Linked DNA regions of Neurospora crassa OR74A. The protein of the gene in region 2 purifies or fractionates together with the protein of the main gene of each other region. This does not show direct contact. Links are inferred from orthologs where the notes say so. Each region holds a gene or a part of one and is shown on either strand. Other genes may lie near its edges. The genes, in order: NCU06892, NCU01820, NCU03794, NCU04799, NCU08663 and NCU03207.

Evidence for each region.
Region 1: the proteins of NCU01820 (region 2) and NCU06892 purify together in Saccharomyces cerevisiae (affinity purification with mass spectrometry; 3 studies listed by BioGRID). This does not show direct contact. The link is inferred for Neurospora crassa OR74A from reciprocal best matches to the Saccharomyces cerevisiae genes CRM1 and RPS20.
Region 3: the proteins of NCU01820 (region 2) and NCU03794 purify together in Saccharomyces cerevisiae (affinity purification with mass spectrometry; 3 studies listed by BioGRID, with this or other methods). This does not show direct contact. The link is inferred for Neurospora crassa OR74A from reciprocal best matches to the Saccharomyces cerevisiae genes CRM1 and PWP2.
Region 4: the proteins of NCU01820 (region 2) and NCU04799 purify together in Saccharomyces cerevisiae (affinity purification with mass spectrometry; 3 studies listed by BioGRID, with this or other methods). This does not show direct contact. The link is inferred for Neurospora crassa OR74A from reciprocal best matches to the Saccharomyces cerevisiae genes CRM1 and PAB1.
Region 5: the proteins of NCU01820 (region 2) and NCU08663 purify together in Saccharomyces cerevisiae (affinity purification with western blotting; 3 studies listed by BioGRID, with this or other methods). This does not show direct contact. The link is inferred for Neurospora crassa OR74A from reciprocal best matches to the Saccharomyces cerevisiae genes CRM1 and NMD3.
Region 6: the proteins of NCU01820 (region 2) and NCU03207 purify together in Saccharomyces cerevisiae (affinity purification with mass spectrometry, with the first as the bait; 4 studies listed by BioGRID). This does not show direct contact. The link is inferred for Neurospora crassa OR74A from reciprocal best matches to the Saccharomyces cerevisiae genes CRM1 and RNA1.

The regions. Positions count from the first base shown.
Region 1 is NC_026507.1:683,332-688,061, forward strand, and holds NCU06892 (40S ribosomal protein S20), read right to left. Parts: upstream 2,586-4,730; 5' UTR 2,345-2,585; coding exon 2,300-2,344; intron 2,163-2,299; coding exon 2,016-2,162; intron 1,918-2,015; coding exon 1,756-1,917; 3' UTR 1,035-1,755; downstream 1-1,034. Other genes in the region: NCU12046 (gamma-butyrobetaine dioxygenase), read left to right, coding at 1-1,034; NCU06893 (hypothetical protein), read left to right, coding at 3,130-4,730. UniProt on the Saccharomyces cerevisiae protein: Component of the ribosome, a large ribonucleoprotein complex responsible for the synthesis of proteins in the cell.
Region 2 is NC_026502.1:2,298,836-2,302,289, forward strand, and holds the end of NCU01820 (exportin-1), read left to right. Parts: coding exon 1-1,804; intron 1,805-1,867; coding exon 1,868-2,105; 3' UTR 2,106-2,446; downstream 2,447-3,454. UniProt on the Saccharomyces cerevisiae protein: Receptor for the leucine-rich nuclear export signal (NES).
Region 3 is NC_026505.1:2,436,618-2,441,838, forward strand, and holds NCU03794 (periodic tryptophan protein 2), read right to left. Parts: upstream 3,377-5,221; 5' UTR 3,203-3,376; coding exon 3,072-3,202; intron 3,005-3,071; coding exon 436-3,004; 3' UTR 266-435; downstream 1-265. Other genes in the region: NCU03793 (hypothetical protein), read left to right, coding at 1-185; NCU03795 (cell division control protein 12), read left to right, coding at 4,441-4,545, 4,617-4,779, 4,848-5,158, 5,216-5,221. UniProt on the Saccharomyces cerevisiae protein: Required for bud-site selection and cell separation. Also involved in nucleolar processing of pre-18S ribosomal RNA.
Region 4 is NC_026506.1:863,180-868,548, forward strand, and holds the start of NCU04799 (polyadenylate-binding protein), read right to left. Parts: upstream 3,531-5,369; 5' UTR 3,117-3,530; intron 2,884-3,116; 5' UTR 2,861-2,883; coding exon 729-2,860; intron 671-728; coding exon 508-670; 3' UTR 1-507. UniProt on the Saccharomyces cerevisiae protein: Binds the poly(A) tail of mRNA. Appears to be an important mediator of the multiple roles of the poly(A) tail in mRNA biogenesis, stability and translation.
Region 5 is NC_026504.1:4,179,670-4,184,855, reverse strand, and holds NCU08663 (60S ribosomal export protein NMD3), read right to left. Parts: upstream 3,090-5,186; 5' UTR 2,823-3,089; coding exon 2,761-2,822; intron 2,700-2,760; coding exon 1,202-2,699; 3' UTR 891-1,201; downstream 1-890. Other genes in the region: NCU08664 (tetratricopeptide repeat protein 1), read right to left, coding at 3,488-4,228, 4,307-4,426. UniProt on the Saccharomyces cerevisiae protein: Acts as an adapter for the XPO1/CRM1-mediated export of the 60S ribosomal subunit. Unlikely to play a significant role in nonsense-mediated mRNA decay (NMD).
Region 6 is NC_026501.1:4,905,250-4,910,221, forward strand, and holds NCU03207 (ran GTPase activating protein 1), read left to right. Parts: upstream 1-1,826; 5' UTR 1,827-2,153; coding exon 2,154-2,348; intron 2,349-2,433; coding exon 2,434-3,498; 3' UTR 3,499-3,876; downstream 3,877-4,972. Other genes in the region: NCU03206 (C2H2 finger domain-containing protein), read right to left, coding at 5-576, 641-1,157; NCU03208 (hypothetical protein), read left to right, coding at 4,311-4,897. UniProt on the Saccharomyces cerevisiae protein: GTPase activator for the nuclear Ras-related regulatory protein GSP1 (Ran), converting it to the putatively inactive GDP-bound state.

The DNA.
Region 1 (4,730 bases), on a different chromosome or scaffold from region 2:
ACACCAACGTCTTTCTAGGCTTGCACCAAGACCTGATGTACATCGACCCGCCTCCCCGCCTGCAGCTCCTGCACTGCATCTCCAACTCCTTCCAGGGCGGCGAATCTCTCTTCAGCGACGGAGCGCGCGCCGCTTACTCCCTGGAACTCAACAACCCACTAGCCTTTGACCAGCTGCGCGGCAACCGCTCGCCGCAGTTCCACTACCACCGCAACGGCAACGACTACCACATGGGCCGCAACACGTTCCGGTACGCCGGGCGGACGGGCGAAGGCAAGGGGTTTCTGAGCCGGATCCACTGGGCGCCGCCGTTCCAGGCGCCGTTTAGCCGGCAGACGGGCGCCACGGCGACGAACGTGCTCGGCAACCGCGTCATTCAGGACGGCGGCGGCGGTGCTTATGCCGAGAACGAGCATGCGGTGGTGGTGGAGGAAAAGGGCAAGAACATGACCAAGTGGGTGCCGGCGGCCAAGGAGTTTGAGCGCGAGATTAGCGCCGAGGAGAACATGTTTGAGCTCAAGATGAAGGAAGGAGAGTGTGTGATTTTCGATAACTGGCGAGTGTTGCATGGGCGCAGGGAGTTCCAGACGGAAGGACAGGCGGAGGGCGCCGAGAGGTGGCTCAAGGGCACATATATTAGCCATCAGGTGTACAAGGCCATGGAGGATAAGTTGCAGTGGAGGTTGGCGCAGAAGGAAGGGGGGATTCCTTTGGCTATTGGCGTGGCGGAGGCGCATGGGTTGGGCTGGAAGGAGAGGGGGCAGTTGCCCAAGAAGGAGGCTCCTAAGCAGGAGACTACTGCCCCTGTTCAGCCCAAGGAGGAGGCACCCAAGGTCGAGGAGGCACCCAAGGTCGAGGAGACTCCCAAGGTTGAGGAGACTCCCAAGGTTGAGGAGACTCCCAAGGTTGAGGAGACTCCCAAGGTCGAAGAGGTTCCCAAGGTCGAGGGGGCCGGGAAGCCCGAGGAGGCTCAGAATGAGGGTCCTTCGCGCCAGCCTAAGGAGCAATTGGGCACGGTGAACTGGAACGCATAAAGCCGGGCGAGAAGATAGGGTGATCGGAAGCTGTATGATGTGTAATGACCTCTTGGGAGCGAGGCGTATGTAGACTACTGTATATATTACGAGGTTTGATACCAAATCAAGGAACACGAAGAACTCTAGAATCTTGGTCATCTGTGTTTTTCGCCGTTCAGGGGTGTCTAGTTGAATATGTTTCGCAACGTCATGACCTGTGTGTGACGCAGTATCGTCCCGTGTCTGCGGTGGTATTGGTTCTCTAGCCCGGAAACCACAGTCGTTGTTTCGAAGTGTTCAACAGTTGACCATCTTCCTCCACGACTTGGACTGCGCCCTTTTTCCCGTGTGCGGTCTTCCTTTTCTGCCTTCCATAGGCATGAATAAGTCGAGGTGATACCACCATCCTAAGAACCCAGAAGTTCAACTATCCCCCACGCCATCTTCCTCCTCATGCGATCATCTCCAATCTTTAATACGCAGGATCACATCACCATCACAGGAAAAAGCACAAGAGGAACAGACCAAAAAATCCAGGGAAAGGAAACGATGGATCATTGCACTATTTCACCAGCCCAACGACCCACCACAGCACAAAGCCCCTTGAGGCAATTGTTCTTTTTTCCAATTGTTTTTTGTATTGTTTTTCCATTCCCCTGGTCGGGTTCGGTTCGGGTACATGGAACCGTGCTTTCGCAGCAGCTTCTTGCCCCCTTGCCTTGGCCAGTCAAAGCCAAACTTAAGCAGCAATGGTGACCTCAACCTCGACACCGGCCTCGATGTTGACAATGATCTGCTTGACGATCTCGGTGGGGGCGGTCAAGTCGATGAGGCGCTTGTGGATGCGCATCTCGAAGAGATCCCAGGTCTTGGAACCCTCACCGCAGGGGGACTTGCGGGTCTGTTTTGTTGTTGGTGACACGGGTTAGTATGTGCGATCGAAGAAAGGAGAAGAAAGAAGAAGAAGAAGAAGAAGAAGAGGGACGATGGGTGACATACGGTGATCTTGAGGATCTTGGTGGGAAGGCGGACGGGGCCCTTGACGCGCAGGTCCTTAGTCTTGGCGCGCTCAACGAGCTCGGAGCAGACCTTCTCAAGAGCCTGGACCTTGCGGGAGGTGAGGGTGATACGGACACGGTGGACCTTCTGTATTTGGGGCGGGTCAGTTAGTTTTTGTTCCTGTTGTTGTTGTTGATGTCCCCGACCACGGGGGAGGTTTATCATGGCGATGACGACGACGACGACGACGACGACGACAGCGCCATCAACGGGCAAAAACGTACGGGGGCCTCGCCGAAATCCTTCTGGTCCTTGTTGTAGGAAGACATCTTGACTTGGTGTTGAGATGGGTTGGGTCGGGTCGACTCGATTGACTGCTAAGGAGGCTGCTGGGCTGCAAAAAGGTGCCTTCACGACTCGAAGGAGTAGATTGTACGGCTTCGGCAAAGTGATGAAGGCGAAGCTTGGGATTCTGGCGAACTGGAAGTTGAGTTGTTCTGGCGAGCGTTCAACAGACCGTCGAGATTAATTTTTTTACTCCATATTTTGCGCGCGACGGGGGCATTGGCGATTTTGTGGGCTTGGCGTGTGGCTTGCGCTTGTTCGGTTTGGTTTCCTTAAGTTGACCCCGCCCTCAGAGGTGTGGCTGAAGACTGAAAGAACCTTGGGAGGATCATGTGGCTGAGGATCTTCGACGACGGGGGATCGTCCAGCGTAGGTCTTGCCGGCCGGCATCTCCCCGCAATGACACATTCGGCGTAAGAATGAATAGAACGGAAGTCACTTTGTACCTTTCACGACTCCCCGTCCAAGTTGTCCAACCGCATGTCACGGTGGGGCACCATTCAACTTCCATTTCCAACTTCCCATCTTCACTTTCATTTTGTCCCCTTACCACGTCTTGACGATTCTTAATAGACTCGGACTTGTTGATAAATAGACGGGGTTGTCTTTTTGCCTTGTATCGATATTTCTCACTCACACTGTTTACTAGTACGCCACCCCCGTGGTCAGGTCAAGGTCACTGCATCTCGCTCATCGACGTCAACATCTCCAAGTCTTGGCATCAAACACCCTCCTGGCCAGCTGTTTACATATCACACCGTGGCTGATTATGGCCTCCAAACTTCCAGCCTTTGCGCTGTTCCCCCTCGCCGCATTGAGAGACCAATTGCTCCCCGATGAATGGATCGCTTGCCTAGACGCCTGGCTCGTACTCATCGACAGCCACCTCTCGCTTCCTGATGCTACATTCCTCTCCATCTCAGCCAGAGACGAAAGCCTTACCGCATTCCTTACCTCCTTCGCTCACCAAACCGCACTCGGTAGTACCTCAATTCTCGGCCCATCCCAATCAGCAAAGCGCCTACTCAAGGACTCTTTCCTCTTAACCTCACGACTGCTCCGCTCCTCATCGCCACCAGTCCCTCTAACGCAATGGGAATTTCTCTCCGACTTCTGCCGTGTCTACGGCAAGAAGCGATCCTCCGAACTCTTATCGTCCCTCTCCGAGCCTGCTCAAAAGTCCCTAGACGCCTCACTATCCGCCCTCAAGAAGGTCCTCATTAAGAACCTGGACCTCGGTCTCCAAGAAGGCGGCGACCTGAAGGGCGTGGAACAGCGACTGGACCGAGTAAATGACCTCATTGGATCTTCTCCACAAGTAGCCAGTTTCTTCTTGGCCGGTAGCGACTTTCTCGATGGGCTGGTGTCTTGCTACAAGATCATGAACCCTCCTCTCCGCAAGGTGATCATTGCCACGACGTACCTCTGCATGGTTGGGCTGGCGGACGGTAGCCAGGATCAGAAACTGTCTGCTTTGACGGATCAGCTGTATTCTCTCAAAGCGGCGGCGGATGCGCACAAGGCTGGGCCAACGAATGTCAACGATTCTTTAGTGGCCGAGTTGGTCACTTCCACACCATTACTACAACAGCTGCAGCGGAAGTTGGAAAGTGTTGGGTCTGGTAACATCCGAACAAAATCCGTCCTGAAGGAATTGGCAGCCTTCAAAAAACCCGGCGGTGGCATCCCCCGTCCCAAAAGGCTAGTCAACCGCCAGCGCAAGGCAATCGACAAAGGCAAGGGCAAAGACCTCTCCTCCCTCGAGGACACGCAACACCAAGAAATCCACATCCACCGCATGTCCCAAATCTCTCAAATCCAAGATCTCTTCCCCGACCTCGGCTCCGGTTTCATCTCCAAGCTCCTCGACCACTACTCCTCCGACACCGAGCAAGTCGTCGCCTGTCTCCTCGAGGACTCTCTCCCACCCCACCTCCAATCAGCCGACCGATCCGCTCCTCTTGCACCCCCATCCCCAAAACAACCCAAACCCCAAGGACACCTTCGCTCACCAAAATCCACCCCACCCCTACCTCCAACCAGAGGCACCACCACCGCTACGAATCCCCTCGTCGACGACGACGACTTCTTACTGTCTGTCCCCGCATCCCAACTCCAACTGGGCAAACGCACCGACACCTCCGCCGACCTCTTACTCTCCGCCCCGCCGACTACCTCCAACCCCACCTACAAATCCCGCATCCTCTCCGCCCTCGCCGCCTTCGACTCCGACGACGACGAGCGCGACGACACGTACGACGCGGCCGACGTGGGCGGGACAGTGGACGCGGCAACCGTTGCCGCCGGTGTCGAAGACATTCGACTCCAAGACAACCAACCTTCCCAGGGTGGTGGTGCTGGTGGGTTAGC
Region 2 (3,454 bases):
ACTACCCTCTCCGCAAGCACAAGTACAACGAGATTCTTTCCAACCTGCGTGTTGTCATGATCGAGAAGATGGTGCGCCCCGAAGAAGTCCTCATTGTTGAGAACGACGAGGGCGAGATTGTCCGCGAGTTTGTCAAGGAAACCGACACTGTCCAGCTTTACAAGACCATCCGCGAGTGTCTCGTTTATCTCACCCATTTGGATGTGGTCGACACCGAGCAGATTATGACCGACAAGCTCGCACGCCAAGTCGATGGATCCGAATGGTCATGGCACAACTGCAACGTTCTCTGCTGGGCTATTGGTTCTATTTCTCTCGCCATGAACGAAGAGACGGAGAAGAGGTTCCTTGTTACTGTTATCAAGGATCTTCTTGGACTGACCGAAATGAAGCGGGGCAAAGATAACAAGGCCGTCGTCGCCAGTAACATCATGTACATTGTCGGACAGTATCCCCGTTTCCTCAAGGCGCACTGGAAGTTCCTCAAGACGGTCGTCAACAAGCTGTTCGAGTTCATGCACGAGTCTCACGAGGGTGTCCAGGACATGGCCTGCGATACTTTTATTAAGATTGCCAAGTCTTGCAGACGCCACTTTGTTGCGCTCCAGCCTAGCGAGTCTCAGCCTTTCATTGAGGAGATCATCAGGGACCTTGGCAAGATCACTTGCGACTTGACTCCTCAACAGGTACATACTTTCTATGAGGCTTGCGGCTACATGGTAGCTGCTCAAGGCAATAGGCACCAGCAGGAAAGGCTGCTTTCTGAGCTCATGCAGATTCCCAATATGGCGTGGCAGGAGATTATCAGGCAAGCTAGCCTCAACCCTAACATCCTCCAGGATGCGGACACCATCAAGGTTATTGGCAACATCATGAAGACCAACGTCTCGGCATGCTCATCTATTGGTACCTATTTCTTCCCTCAGATCGGCAACCTCTATAGCGACATGCTTCAGATGTATGCCGCCACCAGTCAGCTGATTTCTGAGGCTGTTGCTCGCGAGGGTGAGATTGCTACCAAGATGCCCAAGGTCCGCGGGCTCCGAACCATCAAGAAGGAAATTCTCAAGCTTATTGAGACCTATGTCGACAAGGCTGAGGACCTCCAGGCCGTGCGGGAGCAGATGGTGCCTCCTCTCTTGGACTCGGTGCTTGTTGACTACAACCGTAACGTTCCTGGTGCTCGTGACGCTGAAGTCTTGAGGGCCATGACCGCCATGATCACTAAGCTCTCGGCTTTGATGGAGGACCAGGTACCGATCATCATGGAGAATGTCTTCGAATGCACGCTGGACATGATCAACAAGAACTTCTCCGAATACCCCGAACACCGTGTCGAGTTCTTCAACCTCCTCCGCGCTATCAACCTTCACTGCTTCCCTGCGCTTTTGAAGCTTGATAACCGTCAGTTCAAGTTTGTTATTGATTCGTGCATGTGGGCTAGCAAGCACGACAACCGCGACGTTGAGACTGCGGGCCTTAACATGTGCCTGGAGCTCGTCAACAACATTGCTGAGAAGACTGACGTTCAGACCTCCAACGCTTTCTTCAACCAATTCTTTGTCAGCATTCTGCAGGATGTGTTCTTCGTTCTAACCGACCAGGACCACAAGGCTGGCTTCAAGACCCAGTCCATGTTGCTCATGCGCATGTTCTACTTTGTCCACCCCGCCGATGGCTCGCCCTCGAGGATTCAGGGCCCCATTTACCAGCCCGATCAGGCCCAGCCAGGCACTAGCAACAAGGAGTTCCTCACCATGTTCGTGGGTAATCTGCTGCAGACCGCTTTTGCCAACCTCACGCCGTAAGTTTTCTTCCCCACCTTCGGACCTTGTAAGGTACCGAGCTAACCAAAAGTGCAAAACAGTGCCCAGATTACCTCGTTTGTTGAGGGACTCTTCACCCTTAACACCCAGTACGACAAGTTCCGCCTCGCGTTGCGTGACTTCCTTATCTCCCTTAGAGAATTCGCCGGCGACAATGCCGAGCTCTACCTCCTGGAGAAGGAGCAGCAAGAGACGGCGGCCAAGGCGGCCGATATCGAGAGGAGATCCAAGGTCAGCGGCCTGCTGAAACCCAGCGAGCTCGAGGACGATGAGCTGTGACTAGTTGGAGAGGAGCTTAGGAATGAGTTTGCGCCGACTTACGAGTCGCGCCGAAATGACGTACCACCAGAGCAGCCACACATGAATGGGCTGGCTGGTGCTGGTGATATGACGAAAGGAAAAAGAAGCGGCGGCGGCAAGGATCACGACCAATTCGGTGGCGATGGATGGGAGTTCTATGGTCTGTGAAATGAAATATGGCGGCGTTCTTTTTTCTTTTTGTGTTTATGTAAGTCACCAAATCAGTCGTATTTCTTGTATGAAACCCAACCCGGCATTTTATCAAGAGCCGACCCGCTAGAATCAGCCAAATACTATTGAATGAGTAGCATGCTGCCAGCCTCTTGTATCTGTTCCTCTCACTTTTTGTGTTATTAATCATAAGAAGATTGGGTGGGTGGCAGTACGCTTGTCTGGTTCACATCCGGAGATTCAAGGGTGATACTTGTGAAGAGTAGTCAACAACACGACAATGGGGGGAAGGTGTTGCTGACCGACTTGGTTGTTCCGGCAAAGTAGCCAGTTGGTGCGTGGTGCCCTCATTGCTCGCCTTCCTGCGCACATCCTTTGCAGTGGTCTGGTGCTAAGACGCTTCAGTGTATGCCGACTACATACCGATAACAAGTTTAGACACTTGTCCAATATTCGATCGTTCTCTTGACGCACTGCAGTCCGTCCACCAGAACAGCAGGTGTCTATTTTTTTTCACACTCCAGAACTGGTCTCATCTGAAGCTAGTGATCACCTTTTACTTTGAGTTGTGTTTTCACTCACTAATTGAGTCACGGCATTGACTTTTATACCTACCTGGTGAACTGACTGGACTGGGTTTCCATCTACTTTGCATCTTCTCTTTTTCAACCCTCCTCTCCTTCCTCTTTCAGATTTACACAAGGCGTTTCGCGTCCCGTCTCTCGAGGCTCACGTCTCCCAATCGGACTGGATCAGACCGGCATTCCCTATCCCGCGTTTGGAGTTACCTCGCTTTCTGTTCCGTTCACATTGTCCCACCCGGTTATGTCTTCCTTGCGTCACTTGAGGCTTTAATTTGGAGTTATCAGTATCAAGACGTTCCCTTTGGGTTTCTACTGTGAGCTTAATCGTTTACTTGCTCCCTTGTAATTCGATATATGTGGGTCTGAGTCTAGTACTTGTTGTGCGGGAGTTCAGTTCTTTGATGTTTACACATACGTATATATATATGTACAAGTTATTGTGGGTTATGAACTTCCATACACTTACCTTCCCACTTTCAGTTTCAGTTTCACCTTCTTTTATTTCCCTTTTACTTTCTCTTGTCTGTCGTCATAGCCCCTTGGCTTGGCTTTTTCGTGCCCGCCCGTCTATGT
Region 3 (5,221 bases), on a different chromosome or scaffold from region 2:
ATGGTCATAGCATCAAGCTTGCCCGAGCTGCACGTATTTGCCAGCTCTATTATCAAACAAGAGATGACGATTACTGGAACAAGGTCTACCACCTGATTGTCGACTCGGTCCTCGCACCAGGACCAAACTGGGTACGTAGCTGTGGGTTCGATGAGGCATGGGAGGATATTCCCAATGTCGAGTAAAAGGCATCTAGCAATCCACAAATGTTGGACTAAGGGGGTATGGCATTGCTTTCACACAGTTTCGCATGGCGTTGTAGTTGTATCCCAAAACCCCTATTTTCTCTATTGCCATGAATTGGTATCAAAATCATCTGTACAAGTTATAAACTAGAATGCCGGTTGACAAACATTTTCCGTATCAGCGCCTATCCTATGTGTGGTACCCTTCCTTACCGTTACAAAAATCCTATAGTACTCTAAATCCTAGGACCTATACCAAACCGATCCACTCGTCTTCGCTGGCGTTCCCCTCATCCTGCTGCATGACATCGTTCAAGCTCATACCGCCAGCGCCCGGCTGCTCATCCGAGCCGGTGGTAGCCCACTCAAGCGCCAAGGTCTTGGTGGTATTAGTCTCCTTAGCAGCGCTCGCCTGACCGAGGAGGTAGTCAACCATGTAGACGTTTTCATCGGCCAACTTCCTGATCTCATCCCTCATCTTGGAAACAGCCCTTGCGACAACACGAAGCTCAACATCGACCTTGCCGCGGTTGGCAGACAACCACGCGCCGTGCTTGTCGACCAGAGCCTTGATCCAAAGAAGACAGAACTCAACGTGAGGGCTCTGCTCGGTCTGCGCGGCAACGTACCGCAGCAGCCTGGCAACGTACACGTTGGGAAACTGCTCGACCACCAGAGGGATGTCGGTGTAAGGGATGGCCTGGAAGACACGCTGGATCAGACCGGCCTCGTTCAAGCGGAAAGCCATGACGAGAGCCTTGAGGTAGTCCTTCTCCTTCTCGAGCACGGCCAGGGTAGAGGTGGGGGTGATCTCCATGTTGAGGTCAAAGGGATCGAACTGGATGGTGGTGTCCAGGCTGTAGATCAAAAGACCTTCTGTGGAGGCGGCGCAGAAAGCACTTCCGTTCGGGGAGAAGGCAACGCCGTTTACTCTCACTTCGGGATTCTTCCTCCGTGCGGAGGGGTCGCCGCGCTTGGAGCCTGGGAGTGACCTGTCTATCCTGTCCTCGAAATCGGAGGCCTCGCCTTGCTCGTCCAGGAGACCCTGGGGTCCAGCCTCGGTGAGAAGCTTGCTGTTGAGGAACTCTTGAGTGCCTTGAATTGAAAGATTGACGCTCACGGTGTACTTCTTCAGGAGAACCATGGTGGTGACGGAGTACAAGCAAATATACTTGCTGTTTCCGCCGGCCAAAAGGCACGATCCGTCTGTGCTGTATCTGATGGTGTTGAAAGCCTTGGTACCGGCAACATTGGCCGCAGTCCTGCGATCACCGATCTTCCGACCGCCGGAGACATCCCTGCGTCCATCAAGACCAGCTTGCTGCTCAGCTTCCGAGACCGACCAGAACGACAGGTTGCCGTCGAGAGTGGAGATGGCAATCTGGAGAGAATCTGGCCTAAAGGCAATGTCGAGAACATCCGAGTTGAGCTGGAGAGGCTCGCTTGTTTGTGTGCGGTTGAAGATGGACCAGATACGGGCAGTGCGGTCCCAACTACCACTCACAAGAAGACCGCCGTTAGGCGCAAAGGCCAAGGATGACACAGGGCCCTCGTGTCCCGAAAGACGATCTAGGAGCTGGCCAGTCTGGACAGACCAAATATGAATGTCGAAAGAGTCAACGGAGCCAGCCGCCACGATTTCGCCACTAGGATCAACTGCCATGCAAGAGAAAGATAGCCTTTCTGGTGCTGTAAAGGTCCTGAAGTTTCTGTATCTGATCAAGTCCCAAGCCCTGATGGAACCGTCCAAACTCGAGGTAAACAGGACATTGCCCTTCTTGGAGAACTCGCAAGCAGTGATGCCGCTCGTGTGCTCTGTGAAGGTAACAATGCAGAATCCCGATTCCGTATCCCACACCTTAATCTTTCCATCATCGGCGACTGTGACAATCCGCTGACCGTCCGGAGAGTAAACGAGGGAGTTCATCGAGTCGAAATGGCCCTGCTGCTTGAGAATGTAAGACTCGGACTGCCACTCCCACACCAAAAGCTGACCAAGCTTGGATGCGCCAAACGCCAGCCACTCGCCGCTCTTGTTGATCGTCACAAAGTCAATTTCGTTCTGGGAGATGCTGAGAGTGTGGATCATGTTGAAGTCGGGCATTTCGTAGAGGCCAAAGATACCGTTCGAGAAACCGGCAACCAGCAAGTTCGATTCGGGATGGAAAGCGGCGCATCGTACGGTGGCGCTGTTCTGCATGAAATAGTGCTTGTTGACTATCCTCCAGGCCAGGTCATCGTCGTCCACCATATCCTCGTCCTGTCCAGGCTTCGCAACGTATTGCCAGTCGAATACGGCGCCGTCCTTGCTGACTGTGTAAATCGTCTCTTGATCCTTGGAAAACCACGCGCCCACGACACCCTGCCTGTGACCGGACAGAACTGTAGGTGTGAACCCCTCCTCTTGATCAACACTCCATATCCTTGCTGTGAGATCCTTGGAAGATGTGAGGAAGAATCGCGAGTCGTGGGACCACTCGATGTGACGGACATCGTCGAAGTGTTGGACGTGGGTATGGTGCTTGACGAAGGGCGCAAACTCGAGCTCGCCGTCGGCGTTGGCGTCGGGTGTTGAGGGAACGTGCCAAACCTCGATTTTCCTGCCGAGTCCAACAATGAAGTGGCGCCCCGATGGCGAAAAGGAGAGAGCCGTTACTGGAGCCTTGAAGGAGAAGTGATATAGTACTACGCGCCGGGGCACGTTGGTGAGAATAGCTTGGCCATCTTCGTCTATGGAGAGTAGGAGGTTGCCCTGGGGCGTGAGACCGATACGCGCAATGTTCTTTCGGTGGGAGAAGGGAAGGGTATATGATTTGTTACTGCGACCGTGTTAGCCAGCTTACAAGCCATGCGCCAGGCAGGTGTGTAGGGAATCTTGAGACGTACTCGACAAGGTTAAAGACTGTCACCCTGTTGCCAACGGGCGAGAAGAGATGGGTACCGTCCGGGCTGAACAAGAGGTTGCCCTGGCAGTAGACTGTGCCCAGTAGATTAGAAAACTTGAAGTCGGTCTTCATTTTCAAACACTATTCCATGCCTCGACTGTCAACGTTGGAGATGGAGCAGAACTGGGATAGTATCTGGGGATTCGATTATGTACAGGAACTGGAGGACTCTTTCGAGTCTGTATAGGTAAGTGGAACAGAAGTTCAGTTACAGGCTGCTGCTGTTGCGCCTAGACCGCCCGTACGTTCAATGGCGATTCTGCCAGCCAAAAATTTCATAAACTTTTTGGCGGGGAATGGAGTCGGGTTAGCTCCTCGCTTTGGCACCAGCTGGCAAAAGACTTGGCGTATCTGGCAGCCTCACCGACCGCAGCGAGACCAACCACTGCACGGCACCACCAAGCACGGTCACCAAGCACAGTGCAAGGCTGGCAGAGCTGGCAATCAAAGGGTCAAAGGGTCGACCAAGTTTCCATGGCAATGAATGGCTGATCACCGCCAATGGCGCTAGCAGGGAAGGCACGCATCGATTAAATGCTCGGCGAGGGTACCTGGCAAGCGCGTTTCAGTGGAGAGCTGCCAGCGTAGGTCCGTCTCTGGGGACCTGGAATTGGGGAAGTGTGGGAAGCAAGTGGAAAAGGGGAGGGTCCACTCATTTCCCTGCCGCGCAGCCAGTCAAGAGCGGCCTTGTGTGGTGGCAGCTCTACACTACTGCAGAATGCCGGGCTCGAAAGGTGCCATTGGATTATATGGATCGTGTACCGTGCGCCTTCTCGGCATCATCACAGACGGCTGCCGTGGCCCCGCCCAGGCACCTCATCTGGAGGATGGAATCGAATGCTGCTTGCTCGCTGCTTGCTCCGTCCGTCTGCTGCCGCGGCCCTGCAGTGCCTGGAGTGCTTGGGGTTCAGTCAGTGTGGGCTAGGTTTGGCCTGGCGCTCCCGTCCCCGTCGCTGGTGCTCTCTCCTGCGTGGGTGTGTGGTGCTGGGTTGGGCCAGATGAATGTGGTGTGGAAATTTGAACAAGTAAATTCCCCTGAACGAAAGCACAGAGCTCCACGACGGGTCCCCCGTCCACTCACCACTGCAGTTCCATCCCCCGTCTGCCTCTCGCTCCCACCCGTCCACTGTCAACACCAACCTAATTTCGATTCCCATTCACGACCACCACCATACCCGTACACCACGCATCCCGCCTGACGCTCTTTTTCTCCAATTGCCGGTGCTTCTTCTCGCCGTTACAGCAACGGGATCGTGACTTAATCCTCTACCCATAATTATCTCCCAGTTTCGTGTTTCGCCCAGCTGAAGATGGCCCCTGCCACTACCGAGAGCGCCTCACCGATTGGCATTGCCAATCTGCCCAACCAGCGACACAAGATTGTTGCTAAGAGAGGCGCTGCTTTTACTATTATGGTGCGCTTCACTGTCCAAAGCTTGCCGAACCTCGCGCTTGTAAAACCAATGCTGACGGCGTGGGTGGATAGGTTGCTGGCGAGTCCGGCCTCGGCAAGACCACCTTCATCAACACGCTGTTCTCCACGACCATCAAGAACTATGCCGACCACAAGAGGCGCCACCAGAAGCAGGTCGACAAGACCGTCGAGATCGAAATCACAAAGGCTGAGCTCGAGGAGAAGTTCTTCAAGGGTACGACAGCACATCACGCAGGGGGACCTTGGTGTCTTGTAGGAGAGCTCTGTCTAACCAGCTTATAGTTCGCCTGACTGTTATCGACACCCCCGGCTTTGGTGACTACGTCAACAACCGCGACTCGTGGATGCCCATTATCGAATTCCTCGACGACCAGCACGAGTCCTACATGCTCCAGGAGCAACAACCCCGCCGTCAGGACAAGATTGATCTCCGTGTCCACGCCTGCTTGTACTTCATCCGCCCCACCGGCCACACGCTTAAGCCCCTAGATATCGAGGTCATGAAGAGACTCTGCTCTCGCGTCAACCTCATTCCCGTTATTGCCAAGGCCGACACTCTCAGCCCTGCCGACCTGGCGAGGTTCAAGTCCAGGGTAGGTTTTTCCCTTTACTTGAAGATACCACCCATCATCGCTAACCATGACTTCTAGATCCGT
Region 4 (5,369 bases), on a different chromosome or scaffold from region 2:
ACCCGACATTCCGGACCAATTGCAGATAATCACTTTTGGCCAGTTTTCCCTCCCTAACCGTAAACGCCAAATCGTTGATAAAACATAAGGAACATAATCATACCCCTTCAGATGGCCAACCCTGTATGATGCGACACCACGCTCCATCACAAGGAGAGAAAGAAAAGGCAAGCCTGTCAATACATGAGGATGACTTTGAATCAATATCATATCGAGATACTGCTTGTAAAAGTCGTCATGCACACAAGGAACAAACTGCACCCCACCTGCTGGAGATACTTTTTAAAATCCATCCACTGCCAATTCGGCCATCGCACCGTGATGGGGTTGCATGGGATCGGGAGAGATTAAATCATAATTGTCGTCAAGCGAAGTGTGGTATCAAATAAACTTTTCCGGACCCCCCGTTGCGAGATCGACCCTAGAGAGTTGAATGGAGAACATGAAGAAACATCTGAGAAACACCTATGCCGGTGCGTGGGAAATCATCCATCGCTCAGGGCACATTTAAGCCTTCTGCTCCTCCGGCTTCTGCTCCTCAGCCTTGGGCTGCTCGCCGTTGGCCTCAGCGGGCTGCTGGGTGGGCTGCTGGCCCTGAGTCTTGAGGTACTCGTCATACACGGCAAGAGCCTCCTGGACCTTGACGTTAAGAGCGTTGTCATCCTCGAACCTACAGAGAGACAGGTTAGCGATATGTAGAAGAGTCAGGAATAGACATGTAGACTTACAGGTTGATCAGCTCAGCGTTGTCCATCTCGAGGAGCATGCCGGTGATCTTGCCAGCAAGAGCGGGCTGGATGGCCTGGATCTTGGGGAAGAGGTTCTCGCCAATGATCTGCTTCTGGGCCTGAGGATCCTGAGTGGTAGCGAGCTGAGCCTGGAGGAAAGAGCCAGCGCTGAGGTCGGCAGGAGCGCCAGGAATGGGGGAGGCACCACGGCCGGCAGCCATAAAGTTAGCGTTGCCGCGAGGAGTGCCGCGACCGCCACCGTTCTGGGGACGACCGGCAGGGGGGTAGCCGGGAACGGCAGGGCCGCCCTGGAGACCCTGGGGAATACCGGCGGGGATGCCCTGAGGACCCCGGCCAGCGGGACCGCCACGGCCACCACCAAGAGCACCAACCTGGCCCATAGCAGCCATGTACTGAGGGGTGTTAGGAGGGAAAGCACCAGGGCCGAACTGGTTGATGGGGTAACCCATAGGGGGCATCTGCTGGGGAGGGACGCCACCGCGGCCACCCTGCTGGTAGGGGTACTGGCCAGGGCGACCACCCTGAACGCCGGGGACGATACCACCCTGGGGGAAGGGGACGCCACGACCGCCGGGGGCGGGCATGAAACCAGGCTGCTGACCAGCGTAGTAGACAGGAGCCTGCATGTACTGCTGGGGCATACCAGCCTGGGCAGCGGCCTGCTGCATGCGGAGCTGGTTGCGAGCCTGGATGCTGGCCTCAAGCTGGCTCTTGCGGACATCCTTGCGCTGGGCAAGAGCGACGTAGAGGGGCTTGCCATCGACCATGCGCTGGTTCATCTCAGTGACGGCCTTGGTGGCATCATCGGGGTTGCTAAAGCAAACGAAGCCGAAGCCCTTGCTCTTGCCGAGCTTGCGGTCACCCTTCTTCTCAGTCTTCTTCTCAGAGCCCTCATTCTGCTCCTCCTCCTTGGTCTCACCCTCCTTCTTGTTCTCCTTGTCCTTCTCATCCTTCTCCTCGGAGCCCTCGATCAGAGAATCGCGCATGACCTTGGCGGAGGTGATGGGGCCATACTCAGAGAACATGGCACGGAGCTTGTCGTCATCGACATCATCGCCGAGGTTCTTGATGTACAGGTTGACACCCTGGTACTTGTTGGCCTTCTCGAGGCGGGCAGCCTCGTAGGACTTGCGGAGCTCCTCCTCGCGCTCGTGCTTCTTCTGGGCACGGCCGACGTAGAGGTCCTGGCCACGGAAGTCCTTGCCGTTGAGCTCATCAACAGCCTGGGCAGCAGCCTCGTGGGTGGTGAAGTTGACGAAACCGAAGCCACGGGACTTGCCCTCCTGGTCACGGGCAAGGGAGGAAGAAGTGACCTCACCGAACTTGGCGAAGAGCTCACGGAACTCCTCGTCGGTGACCTCGTTGTTAATGTTCTTGACATAAACGTTGGTGAAGTTGGCCTTCATCTCCTCGAACTTGCTCTGGCGGTCCTTCTTGGGAATGTGGTGGCCAACGTAGACCTTCTTCTCGTTCAAAAGCATGCCGTTGACGTGCTTGATGGCCTGGGAGGCAGCCTCATCGGTCTCGTAGTGGACGAAACCGTAGCCCTTGGAGTTACCGTGCTCATCCTGGGCAACCTTGCAGGAAAGGATGTTGCCGAAAGCAGCAAAGGTGTCGTGAAGAGCCTTGTTATCAATGGCAGCGTCGAGGTTCTTGATGAAGATGTTGCCGGCACCGGTCTTGCGGAGGGCGGGGTCACGCTGGGACCACATGATGCGGCAAGGGCGGCCCTTGATCAGGGTGTAGTTGAGCTCCTCAAGAGCCTTCTCGCCGTCAGCGGTGGTGTTGTAGTTGACGTAGGCATAGCCGAGGGAGCGACGGGTGACAGCATCGCGGCAGACACGAATGGAGGCGACAGAGCCGATCTGGGAGAAGAGCTCGAAGAGCATGGCCTCGGTGACGGAGGGGTCAAGCTCGCCGACATAGAGAGAGGCGGAAGCCTGGGGGTGAGGGGCAGCAGTGGGGGTAGGAGCAGCCTCAGCACCCTCGGCCTGGGCCTCGGGGACAGCGCTGGTGTCGATGGGGGCCGGGGCAGCGGCCTTGTTGTCGAGGCTGGTGTTGCCGAGGTCAGCGGCGAGCTGGTCGACAGCGGCGGTAGAAGTGGCAGCCATTTTTGCTGGTTAAACTGTAGATTCTGTATGATGGATGGAACTGTCAGCGTCCGTATCCTTTTGTGTGTGTCTGTGTCTCTGATCAAGGCGCCGAGGGGTAACCGATGTGTCGACCGACGACGACAGCGGAAAGGAGGAGGAGAGGACAAGTCTCAATTGACGTGACGTTGGGCGGGCGGCACTGGCGGCGGCCACGGCGACGACGACAACGACGATGGCAAGGCAGGAGGAATTGATAGTGCGACGAGCAACGTACCCGAGATCTAGAGTTGTGTGGAGCAAGTAAAACCGGCGCGGAGAACGGGCGACGGTATTGACAAAGAGGGAGGATGAACTCGACTGGTCAAGGACGAGATTCGGGAGAGGGAGAGGAAGACTGGTGGACTTGGAGACTTGGGTAAATGTCTTCCAAAAAAGGTGGGTGGATTTGGTGGGTTTTATGGGGTTTTGTATGGATGGGGGGGATTTCTCTTTTTTCGGCGATTTTCAAATTTTTTTGGTGAGGTTTTGTTTGTCACAGACAAGAAGTAGATAGAACAGAGACCGAGAGGGTAAATGTTCGTACTTATCTGACTTCTTTCTGGCTTCGGTTTGGAGGAGTTTCCTGAGGATAAAGGGCGTGAGGTCCGCTGAAGAAAGAAGAGGAGGAGAAAGAGGGCAAGAAGCAACGACGCCCGGATGGCTCACGTCTTAATGCGGAGGTCAGATTTTTTTTCTTTCCCGCCCACGCATCTTGTGGTTGCGCACTGTGCCGCGCCCCTCGTAGCCGGTGAAGTGCGGCTAGGGCGGTCAGGGCATGCGGGTATCGGGGTGGCATGGGCTGCAAAACCTTGATTTATCGATAGGACCCGCCAGGAATTCTCGCATAAAGGCATCCATCCACCTGTGCAGACTGCAGACCAGACCGGAGATCCAGCGAAACGTGCGACTTCCAACTTTGCCTGGCACTTCCACTTGCTCCCGGGCCACCACCTGAGATCAAGCATACTTACGGTACTGTGGTCGACCATGGCTGACGACGACTCATGCCAACAACAGGCAGACATGGGCACTTATTCATGAACCCTGGAGGGTTGTTATGAAACCCTGCGTTTCAGCCGTACCTATTTGGTATAAACCGGCGAGATTCACTTGTATTGAATCACGGGACATTCCATCTCAGTTGGCGGTTGGAGTTGAAGATGCAATAGGTTACAGCGGTGTGCCGGATTTTGGCACTGGGTCGCTGGCATCTGTCCCATCACCATGGAACAATGCTAACGACCGCCTTACCTTTCTGGAAGTCCGCTAGCAAACGGCATTGCTGCTGCATTCGTGCCACGGGCATATTTCACACCAGACAAAAATAGAGAAGTAAAACGGATGTCCTGAGTATCAGCATTCGCAGTCCATTTCACCTGCAAAAAAGACATTGTTGGCAAAGCCGCGCACGGAACCTTGGATGGGGCAACTTGGCCGGATGACCTGCCAGGATGTTGCAGTCATATACTGGTTAGCCAGCGGCAAAAACCAAAGTCTGGAACAGGGCATCTTGGGTACTCGAACAGTTCGAGCGTAATGACACATCCTAACATTTCGACGAAAAGGTTTTGGTCCTGATGGCGGCTGCTGTCTGTTGAGGTTGGTCCCATTGTGGTGATTGGTCCCTGTGCCGGGTCAAGTCTAACATGGAAAAGAACAAGATGTCAAGATCGGCTTGATACAAATACCCGAACCAGTCCCACCCGAGTTGCTGCTGGGTTCATCTGGAAAAGGAAGGAACTCGTATGAAGATATTCATATATCAAGACTACCTCCACCACCGTTAGCGCAGCAATTGGCACGGCGGACACCACAATCACTCAATCAAGAAGTCAAGTGAAGTGGAAGGAACCAAGGCGGGAGCAGGCATCTGACGGACGACGCTGCTTGGCTGTGTCCCAGACTAGCCTTGCCAGCCCAGGGCTTGTTTGACCTCTGGCCTTCGTGTTTGTGAGTAGGCCGGGGCGGGCATGGGCCATAGAACCCGTATTCATCGTCATTGAATTGGACATCAAAAAGGCACCATCCTGTTGTAGTTGATGGACGACAACAACCATTCAGGATTCTCTTCAGGTATAGAATCCTTACATAACTCTTCATTCGCCCGGACGAGCAATGTGCTCGAGATACCACCAGTCTTGTTACCTAGAGGTACCTCTATGTACCATGCTTCACATGTTTCAATGGATGTCATCGATGCCCAGCCTGCCTGCCCCGGGCGATAAGATAACACAGACAAAGGAAAGAGGGGTCATCTCCCAAGGCACCTCGCTGTACCTGGATTCCTGCTGAGGTACCTACCTCGACACTCAATCATGAGATCTACCACCAGAAACCTTTTGATGCTCAGCGCCGACGTTAACGTTCCGAAGCTCGTCGTAGGATTCAATCCGCGCTGGTGTTGTAGCAAGCCTCTACTCTAGGTCCCAAACAATGTGTCGCTAGCGCTGAGATACATGTCACTTCAGTTGGTTGATCGAGCTTATCA
Region 5 (5,186 bases), on a different chromosome or scaffold from region 2:
CAGTACTAGGTATGTACCGACGGTAGGTTGAAACCGTGACCAGTTTGAACCACTCGCTTCTGCCGGCTTTTTGCGACTTGCTTATCGATTCTCACAGCGAGCCAAAATTCCTGGGAAGTATTTGCCCAGAGCTGCTCCTCTTCCCGGCAGGTAGAAAGTAACTTGCAGGAAAGGAAGGAGCAAAAGGGAAAGGGGAAGAAGTTTCCGTGCGGGCTTCGCACCTTCCTGACCAACACCCGCCAAGCCAAACTCTGACTTGAAGACGGCCCGGGGATGAGAACGATGGATTTTGAGATAACCTAAACACCAAGAAAAGAAAAAAAAGAAAAGACCTAGTCTCTGAAAAATGGGACCCTCGAGCCAAGAAACCCAACCTATCACGAAGTAAACAAACCCCCTTTTCCCTTTTTGCCTTTAGCCCACCTACTACTGAACCCCTGACCCATGTCACACCCAACCCTCAACTCCACCACACAATTCATGAACAATTCGTGCTTTTCCGGTTCAAGAACACATCCTCTGGTGACAAAAGCATAAAACAATCGGAAGCCATCCTTCATCGGGTATGGTGTAGCGGTAACATCGTTGACTCTCACTTGTTTACAAGTGTCTGTTTTCTCAACAGCCCCGGGTTCGACTCCCGGTATCCGAGCGATAACGATCAACCTTCTGGTTCTCTTTTTTTCGTTTTATTTTTTCCATCTTTTCTCTTCGTTTCAAAGTTGTTCCTTGGCCCCCTCTGCATCGTTGTGAAACCCCGCGCATTTTGTGATATGTTTTCCTTTTTCTGGGGTTGTATGCTTTGGAACCTTTGTCCGGACTCGAAATAAACCTGTTTTCATAATTGATGATGACCGAAGGCGACAAGATAAAACAGACGGATGGAAAACATTTTGAGCAGATGTGTAACACTAGGCCTTGACTGACCAAGATCATCGTACATGACAAGTTGCACATCTTCGTTGATTTAGTACTTTGACGGTCGTAGCATCCTTTCAACCACGTCTATGCATTCACAACTATAAAGACAACAGAATGTTGGATGCAGAGGGCGCCAACACGGCAAGCCCATTCCCGAATCTATTCATGAAATGCCTTAAAAACGCAAACCCTGAAGAACAGCTAACTCCCAGAATTTTGATTTACCCCGAATCCCAAAGCCATTCACATCCACATATCAGACTCCAATCAAGATCACATCCTACTCCTTATCCTGAATCTCCATTTCCTCAAAGTCATCGAGGAGCTCGTCCATGCTGATCTTGGGGCCATCCTCCTCAGCCTCCGTCATCATGTCGGTATCGGCAATGCTCATGGCATCCGCCTCCCTCTTGGTCTTGAGCGAGTTCTTGTACAGAGCAAGAGCAGCACGAAGCTCCTCGTCCTCCTCGACATCGCGCAAGAACATCTCGTACTCGGCATCCATCTTGGCCTGGTCCGAAGCCTTGGGCAGCAGCTCGCCCTCGTCCTTGGCCATGCGCTTGAGCTTCCAGTTTCTCTTTCTGTTGCGGCGGCGGTTCGGGTAGTGCTTCTTGACGAGAACAACGTCAGGGATCATGGAACCGTACGCCTTGGAGCTCTCAATCGCCTCGAGCGCGTCCGAGTTGAAGTTGGTACCCTCGAGCATGTAACCCAGCACCGAGTCACCGGCGTGGAGATGCTGGCCGAGATGTGTGCGAGTGAAGTAGACGTTGTCGTTCACGCCGAGATCGGAGGCACGAGCGACCTGGACCTCGGAGAGAAGCCACTTTCCTTTTCGTACGCCTGTGGACTCGATGTCCATAACGATAAACTCAACAAGATCGGGAGTGCCGGCAAGCGGATGGAAGGGAGCACGCCAGTAGATATCGGCGCTGACTTCGGCGGTCTGGAGGGTGTTGGGGTCGAGAAGGTTGACAGATGTTCCTATCCTGTGGCAAAGGACAAGGGGAGAAATGTTGCCAATGGACTTGGCGAGTTTGAGAGGAAGGGCAACCAAATCGTCTCTGCAAACAGGCACGATTTCGACGGAGTAGTTGTACTTGTACGACTTGTTGCCGGTGTGTGTATCCGCGGAAATAAGATGCCTCGACTCCTTGGTGAGAACTGGTACGACGGACTTCAGGAAGCTGATGAATCCCTCGGCCTGGTTCTTCTGGGCAAAGTAGAAATCGATACCGTCCTTCTCTTCCTTGATGTTGATTGTGTCGCGATGGGCCTGGTGCCTGAGAATGAGCTGTTCGAGGAAAAGGAACGTCCTCTTGTGGGTGACCTTTTGGCGGACCTGTACGGCGGCGCGCCAGACGTTGGCTGTGTATGACTTGGCGCAGTCCTTGCACTGCTGGCTGGCGACGACGTAAGTGACCTCGAAGCTTTGCTGCATCAACACACCATCCGCCACCTGATCCTGAACCGTAACCTGAACCTTGACTCTTCGCGAATGGGGTTCTGTCCAAATGAACCTGGCGTCTGTGATGCGGACCTTGCCCAAATTCCTCAGTTTCTTCAAGCATAGCGACAACAACTCTCTCGATTCGGGGGCGGCTGTGACCCAGCTGGCGGGGGGTAGGAGCCATCTGTCGCAATCTTTGCAGAAGTGGAGGGTGGCCTCGCGCTGGATGCCCTGGGAGATATCGACGGTGGACTTGATGCAGTCGTAGCAAAGAGCGCCGGCGGAGGATGTGCCATCGATGGGAGCGCCGCAGTTGCAGCAGAGAATGCTATTGGTGGTGTCAGCAATCATGCCTTCGATAACCTTCAGTCTTCATGGTCAAAACTCACGTAGCACCTGTCCTGGCAGAGCCCATCAACGGGGCCATGGCCATAGGAGCGTCGAGATCCATGATTAATGAAGTTGTGGTTTGCGACAAGATATGAATCGGGGTATCAATTGTAAAAACAAACAAAAGTCGCTATGTCGTGAAAAGGAAAACCTGGGAGTTCCGTCGCAATCACAAGTGAAGTTGCTGCGGATGAGAAAGAAGTTGACGACTGGAAATTTGAATGGACCAGGACGAGAACGAGTCGCTGGGGGGGAACGTTGGAGGCGCTGACGGGACGGTCGTCAATAAATTTCTTGATGGGCCCAGCACCAAATCGCCCCGCGCTGCATTGATAAGCAATTCGTTATCGGCTATCGGCTACCGTGGGTACTTAGAGGTATTAGCACAAGCCAGTGCAGCAGTACGTACAATTGTGGCGTTCTACTGCCGGCTTTGCCACACCAATAAATCAGCCTCAAAACTTATGGAGCTTTAGCTCCGGCCAGCTGTATTGCAGCTGTCGGGTACGAGCTCCTGATCATCTCCCCCCCTTGTCGATCTGTTGACATTGAACTGTCGATTCGTGTTGACTACTGGTCGATAATATTTTCAGGTGACTGGAAAATCAGCTTTCCCAGTCAGAGGTGCATATGGCTGGGTGACTGGACTATCAAGAAGCCATTCATCCTCAACCACGACGCTGGTAGGCATCGCAAGAGCCCTGACCCTCATTAACTTTCACAACATTACTTTTTGCCTTCGCCACCACCTCCCTGGAAATTCATGCTGTAACCACCGGTCTTCTCATCCTTCACCATCTTGAAATGGTCAGTGCTAAGACCAAACGGCTTAAGCAACCCATTCCCAAGGTCCTTCAACTTGCCCCACATTTCAGCAGTCTCCTTCTCCTGAGCAGCCTTGGCCCGGGGCGGCAGTGCTCTGAGTTGCGCCTGGACGAGCTTTCGGTCGGTAGCCGTAAGGTTGGTCATGGCAGATAGCTTCTTGTAATCCTCGATAGCCCCCTCGAGGGTGGACCATCCACCCAGCTCGCTCCTTGCCCGGGCCCGGCGTAGCAGAGCTTTGGCCCGTATCCTGGCAATATCCTCTAGTCGCTTTTGGCGGGCAATCTGCGCTTCAGTTTCCGTGACAGGAACGGCGGGTCCGGCCTTTGCTGCACCAGCGCTGACAATCTCCTCTTCGACATCTTCCTTCTCCTTCTCTTCCTTCTCGGCAGCCAGCTTGTCCTCCCGCTCTAGCTTGTCAAGCAAGTCCAGAGCTTTGGTTGCGTGCGTGATGGCATCCTTCCAAGCTTCCAGCATGAGGTGACAGGCGGCCACGTTGGAGCGCAAGACGGCCAAGGGGTAGTCCAGGTAGTTTGGACAAACAGCAATGGCTTCGTCATATTTGTTGAGGGCGGCATCGTATTTGCCCGAGGTGAAGAGGGCGTTTGCCTCTGCTTTGTGTGTGTTGGACTCAGCTACCAATTCCTGCTGAGGCGGTCAGTCACAGAGGTTTGGGCATCAAGAGGGTCTTTGTTGTTGTTGCTTTTGGTCGTGGGTACTTGCAGCCTCTTCTTCAGGTGAGAATTTGATATCGGCCTGCTTGGATTCATCATTTTCTTCCTCTGCTTGAGGATCCTTGACCTTCTTCTGCTCAAGCTTGTCATCAGGAGTTTTGGAACTCATTTTCAAGGCAGGTTTGTTTAAAGTGCTACAAGGTTGCCGGTATCGGAATGGTAGTATCTTTTCAGTAGCTCGGAGTGAAAGCTGGAAGGAGGTCTGTAGAAGGAAGGCGTTTTGCGGATGAGATAATGGGACATGCGAGATAAGAAGCCGCGCGCGGACGGAAGCTGTCAGGGGCGGGCAGCGGGCATTTACGCAGGAGCTTGGGCACGGCAGCTACCTCTAGGCATTGCAGGTCTTGGCAAAAGTGGACCTCTACACTACGTCTGTTGGTATCGGAATCCGAAGTGAAGTTATCTGGTACCAGTACTGGGAGAGGGGGGTGTTACAAACTCTTCGCGAATTGTCTTTGGACAGTTAGGAATTTGGTGACTTGTACTTAGATCCCTCGCGCGGTTTAAGTATTTGAATGTCCCAACGTTTTTTTTGCAAAATGTTCGGTAATTAATTGACTATAACTTGACAGACACCTGATAGTCCAAATTCTTAAAATGTTTGGATATCCGGACGTTTCGCTGGGCGGGATTGTTAATTGATAGTAAATTGGCAGTCGTAACCAGTTTAACATTGGGGGTTCCCGAGGTGCCTAAGTACAGATCGAAAGACCCCCCCCCTCCCAGTACGGACCTCATTCGATGAAGTCACTGCCAAACAAAACAGCTGGCCACTGACTGCACTGGATTCACTCAGTCGTAATTCCGTTCGAATACGACGTCAGTAGTAAACCGTTCATAACCGGGTAAAAATGCGGTGAAATGGAATA
Region 6 (4,972 bases), on a different chromosome or scaffold from region 2:
GCACCTATTCCTCCACAGTGAGTCTGGCGGCCTCGGCTGTATCGTTCTCACCAGCTGTCCCGTTTGCCACAGCTTTTTCCGGCAGCTGAACGTCCGCCATACCCTTTAACACGGCTTGACGGCGTGCGTGCCAGGCCTGTTCGCTGCGTACGACCTGATCGAGGAGGATTTCCTTCTCAAGCCACTCCTGCTTGTACAGCTCTTCCCAGAGCTTGCAGTCCTTGCGCAACTTCTCGCCTTCCGCTTCTACCAACTTGACTTGTAGTCGACACAGCTTCATCAACCTGTCGAGCGGCATGTCGAGTTCCTTGGTAGTGAAACCGTGGTCTTCGGTCAAGGGTGTAAAATCAGCCCCGTCGTCTCCGCCGCTAGCATCGTCAACCGAGTCGTCTTGTCCGGCCGCATGAGAATCCGGCCTTCGAATTATGATTTTTACCTTGGCTGACTTTCCAGCCGGACCGCCCCCTGCTTGCATACTCTTGGGCACCGGGTCAGAAGGCCGTAGAGCTTCGGTCTCGTGGACTGTCCGCATATGTTTGGCTAGGGCATCGGAACGTGTAAAAGCGCGGTCGCATTCTGGTACGTCACGTAAGGATTAGAAGGCCATCCATCTTCCGACTGCCAAAGGAGGGCGGCTTACCTGGCAGATAACAGTAAAATGGCTTTTCCCTCGTGTGAGATCGCATGTGCGCCTTGAGCGCATAGCCGCTGGCATGCGGTAAGCTCTTCCTGCTACACCCGATCCATTCGCACGTGTACTTCTTCTGTCGACCTTCGATGTGCGAGTTGTGAATGTGTTCAACGAGCCTATCCATATTTCCCAAATCCCCAACTTTGCAACCTTCCCAAGCACAGACAGTGACTTGTTCCTGGAAGTCATCTTCGTCTTGTCGCGCATTGATTGGGGAACTCGGGATGTCGCCATCAGTATCGGAGGAGACATCGGACATGCCGTCTGGAAAGTCTGGGTCTGCCTCGGGCTCCTGGATAACAGCCGACGAGGCTGTCGACCCGCTGGTAACTTTGATACGCTTTGTGGGGGGCTCCTCTGGTTCGTCGACGGCTTCTGGCACCTCGTCCGCGAAAATCTCTTCCTCGTCGGACGACGCCATTGATGACAGCGGCGAGTCATCCGCAGGAGAGTGTTCTCTAGTCATTGTAGCTGAATGATTCGTGTGTAGAAGATCGGGTTGTTTTGTTCTCTCAATGTGTACGCCCCTTCAAACAAGGCGGATATGTTCAAGAAGAAGAGATGTGGTGATAATGCGCCGTAGTTGCGGACGACAGTTGGCGATGGTGGTGAATGGCGTCGCGCCACGAGTTGATGTCGGATGTCGTTTCGTAACGAGGTCCGCGTTGAATTGTTACCGTGTGGCCCTGATCTGCTTGGGGTTTTGTGCGAGCTACCTAGGTTGTTCGAAGTTCGAATGAATAGTCGAGCAGGAGGGATTTGAGGTGGACTGTTGGATCGAAGAAGCAGCTGTGTCTACTGTGTATGTAGGTAAGAATTCGGACCTTCCTCATTCCTTTCCCCAGGTTTGTCGACGCGGAGCTGCCCCGTCCACGGCTGGGTCTTGGGTCCCCCGTGCGCCTGCTGGTGCCGTCGGCCGCATCTTTCAGAAGGGCGATGTCCATCGCGCCAGGGTGACCGTTATCAGCAAAGTGGTAAGCGCAACCTGCGACAGCTGGCGGCCGCCTGAGCTGGCTGGCTTAGAGGTCAGGCCCCATCCCTGCCTGGGCTCCCACCGAGCCCCAGATTTTCGTCCGTTTCAGTGTGGTGTATGGGGGGCAATCGCCTCCCTGTCTCCCTCTGTTTCATGATCTCCCTGCCCGAGGCTTCATGACCAGCTCATCTCAAGCAAGTGCGTCATCCCATTCGCTAGCTGCCTAACTGATGCCCCCACTACAGCATAAGACGCCTAGTGTACAGGCGCGAGAAGCGCCTAGACCCGGCCGCTGTGGCAGTTTTTGTCAACCCCTCCCCCGCTAGAACTCGGGGCTGTTTGAGCGCACTTGCATATCTATCCTGCACTCGTCCACCGCGTCAACGCGATTTCCATCTCCCTCCCGCTTCCACCGTCTTCGCGTCTGCTTTGTGCTACTCGAGTTCTTCCCGAAACCAAGCCCGCTTTTTCTTACACACATCTTACACAATGACCGTCTCTACCAAGGTCTTCTCCCTCGAGGGGAAAGGTCTGAAGCTCGACACCGCCGAGGACCTCGAGGCCCATATTGCCCCCCTCCGGGCCATGGACGATGTCGAGGAAGTCCGCCTTTTGGGAAACACTTTGGGCGTCGGCGCTTGCAAGTTGCTTGGTGAGGTTCTCGCGACCAAGAAGACTCTTCGTGTATGTCTAGCTGTTCTCAAGTGCATATATGCGCCCCGGCGCATTACGAAGAAGGGACGGCGGCTAATCACCTGTTGCCTTTTAGGTTGCCAACTTTGCCGATATCTTCACCGGCCGTCTGCTCAACGAGATCCCCGAGGCCCTTTCCTCGCTCCTCACCTCCATCCTCAACCTCCCCAAGTTGAACACGATAAACCTCAACGACAATGCATTCGGCCTCAACACCCAGGCGCCCCTTGTTGCCTTCCTCGCCGCACACGTCCCTCTCCAGCACTTGTATCTGAACAACAACGGCCTGGGTCCCCATGCCGGTATTTTGATTGCCGACGCTCTGTCCGAACTCCACGCCAAGAAGGAAGAAGCGCGCAAGCAGGGACAGGATGTTCCCTACCTCGAGACCGTCATTTGCGGCCGTAACCGACTGGAGAACGGCAGTATGACCGCGTGGGCTAAGACTTTCAGACTCCATAACAAAGTTAAGCAGATCAAGATGGTCCAAAACGGTATTCGGCAAGAGGGCATATCCCATTTGCTGAGCGAGGGTCTTAACCACGCTTCTGAGCTCCAGATTCTCGACCTCCAGGACAACACCTTCACCCTCAAGGGAGCTAGGGCTCTTGCGAAGGTGACCCCCGGCTGGACTGAGCTCATCGAACTTGGCATCGGTGACTCTCTCCTTTCTGCCAAGGGCGGTGTCCTTTTGTCGGAGGCGCTTCGGAAGGGAAAGAACAAGAAGCTCGAGATCCTGCGCCTCCAGTACAATGAGATTACCGCCCCTGGCATTAAGGGTCTGGCTCTGGCCGCTGAGGAGGCTCTTCCTGCCTTGAAGAAGATCGAACTCAACGGCAACAAGTTCACCGAGGACGATGAGGCCATCATTGCTTTGCAAGATCTTCTCGAGGAGCGCAAGGAGCGGTTTGGTGGCGATGTTGTCGCCGAGGACGAGTGGGGTCTTGATAGCCTGAGCGACCTTGAGGAGGAAGATGAGGAGGAGGAAGAAGAGGAGGAAGAGGAGGAGGAGGAGGAAGTCGAAGAGAGGGCAGAGAAGCTCATCAAGGAAGCCGAGGCGGCTCAGGAGGAGCCAGTTGTTCAGGTTAAGGACAAGGAGGTTGATGAGCTGGCTCAAAAACTGGCCAAGACCGAACTCTAAGCATGTCTTTAGCGTGCTTGGACAATTCAACTCAACTGAAACAGTGCGCAACGAACTCCTTTTTTCTTCATGGAGACAAACACAGACGATACCCAAGATAAGCGACGACGGGAGTTTGGGGATATGATTATAGATTAGATATTGTCCTGTATCGTGTTGGATGCCCTTTCATTGTGTCGTCATCATGTTTTGGCACGTCCTTGTTTGTAAATCTCAGGGGTTGGACACAGCGACTGGGCCGCTCAACTGTATATCACCTACCCCCTTTGGACGAGGTGGTGTAAACATCACATGTCTGTAACGACTGCATTGACACGGCTTTGTTCCTTACGATAACTGGCAAATAAATAGACATGGCTTAATTCCTGGGATTTACGGTGGCTCAGCGGTTTTCTATTTGGTCATGTCACTTCCCAACGACCTGTCGGAATGGCAGCTCAGCGTGTCACGCCACAAAAGTCACCCCATCTCCTGGCCCCTGAGAGGGCTTGTTCCTGTGGCCAGATTGAGCATCGACGTCGCCTCGGTGTAGGTTTGGGTCACAATGGATATATAGATGCTTTACAGCCCAATGTCGTGAAAAAAAAAAAGAAAAAAAAGAGGGAAAGAAAATTCATCCATCACAAGTGGAAGTTTACATCGACTGCTGTTCAACTGGCGTCTGTTCTGCCTCATCATCACCTGCACACATACGCAAACACATACACACCATCGACAGGAGTGACACCAGTCCTCATCATATACAAGAACAATCACTTTGCCAAATCACCGCCCTTATCACACAATAAGCCATATAAGTATAAAGACAGCATATGGAGGGCTCCAGGCCATTATTCGAAACCACCGACTCCATCATCGAAGTCCTCTGGGACATCGCCCTCGCCGTTTTCGTCATCCGCGTCTCCTTCTACTATTTCCTCCTCACCTTCCTCACCAGCCTACTCCTCGGCTACATCGCCTATGCTGAACTCATACCCATCACCACCTTCGCTCACTTTGTCTCCTCCTCTGGCCCCGACCACAACAACCGCATTCTCTGCTTGACCATCCTCCTAACCATCACCTCAGCAGTATGGGCTCACCTTGTCCTCCGCCACTATGAGGTACCCCGCGTCGCCTATTTTAGGTTAGCCATCTGCTCCATGGCGCTGGCATTCATGGTCTCGGCAGAGATGGTGGTGGCTTTTGTACTGTATGAGGAAGGGTACGGAGGGTGGATCTGGGAAGAGATAAAGAGCGTGGCAGGCGTGGCTTGGGGAGGTTGGACGGTGATGTACGCAGTGATGCCAGTGTTGCTCATGAGGGCGGAGAAGAGGATGGAGAAGAAGATGGATGATAGAACAGGAGGGCTGCGGCTGCGGCTTGGGTATTATGGATGTAAGACGGTACTGCATAAGTTGTAAGTGGTTATCCCTTTTGATGTCCCTTTGGGTACTGGTTGTTTCGGTTCTTTGCAATGGTAAGGATTAAGGCT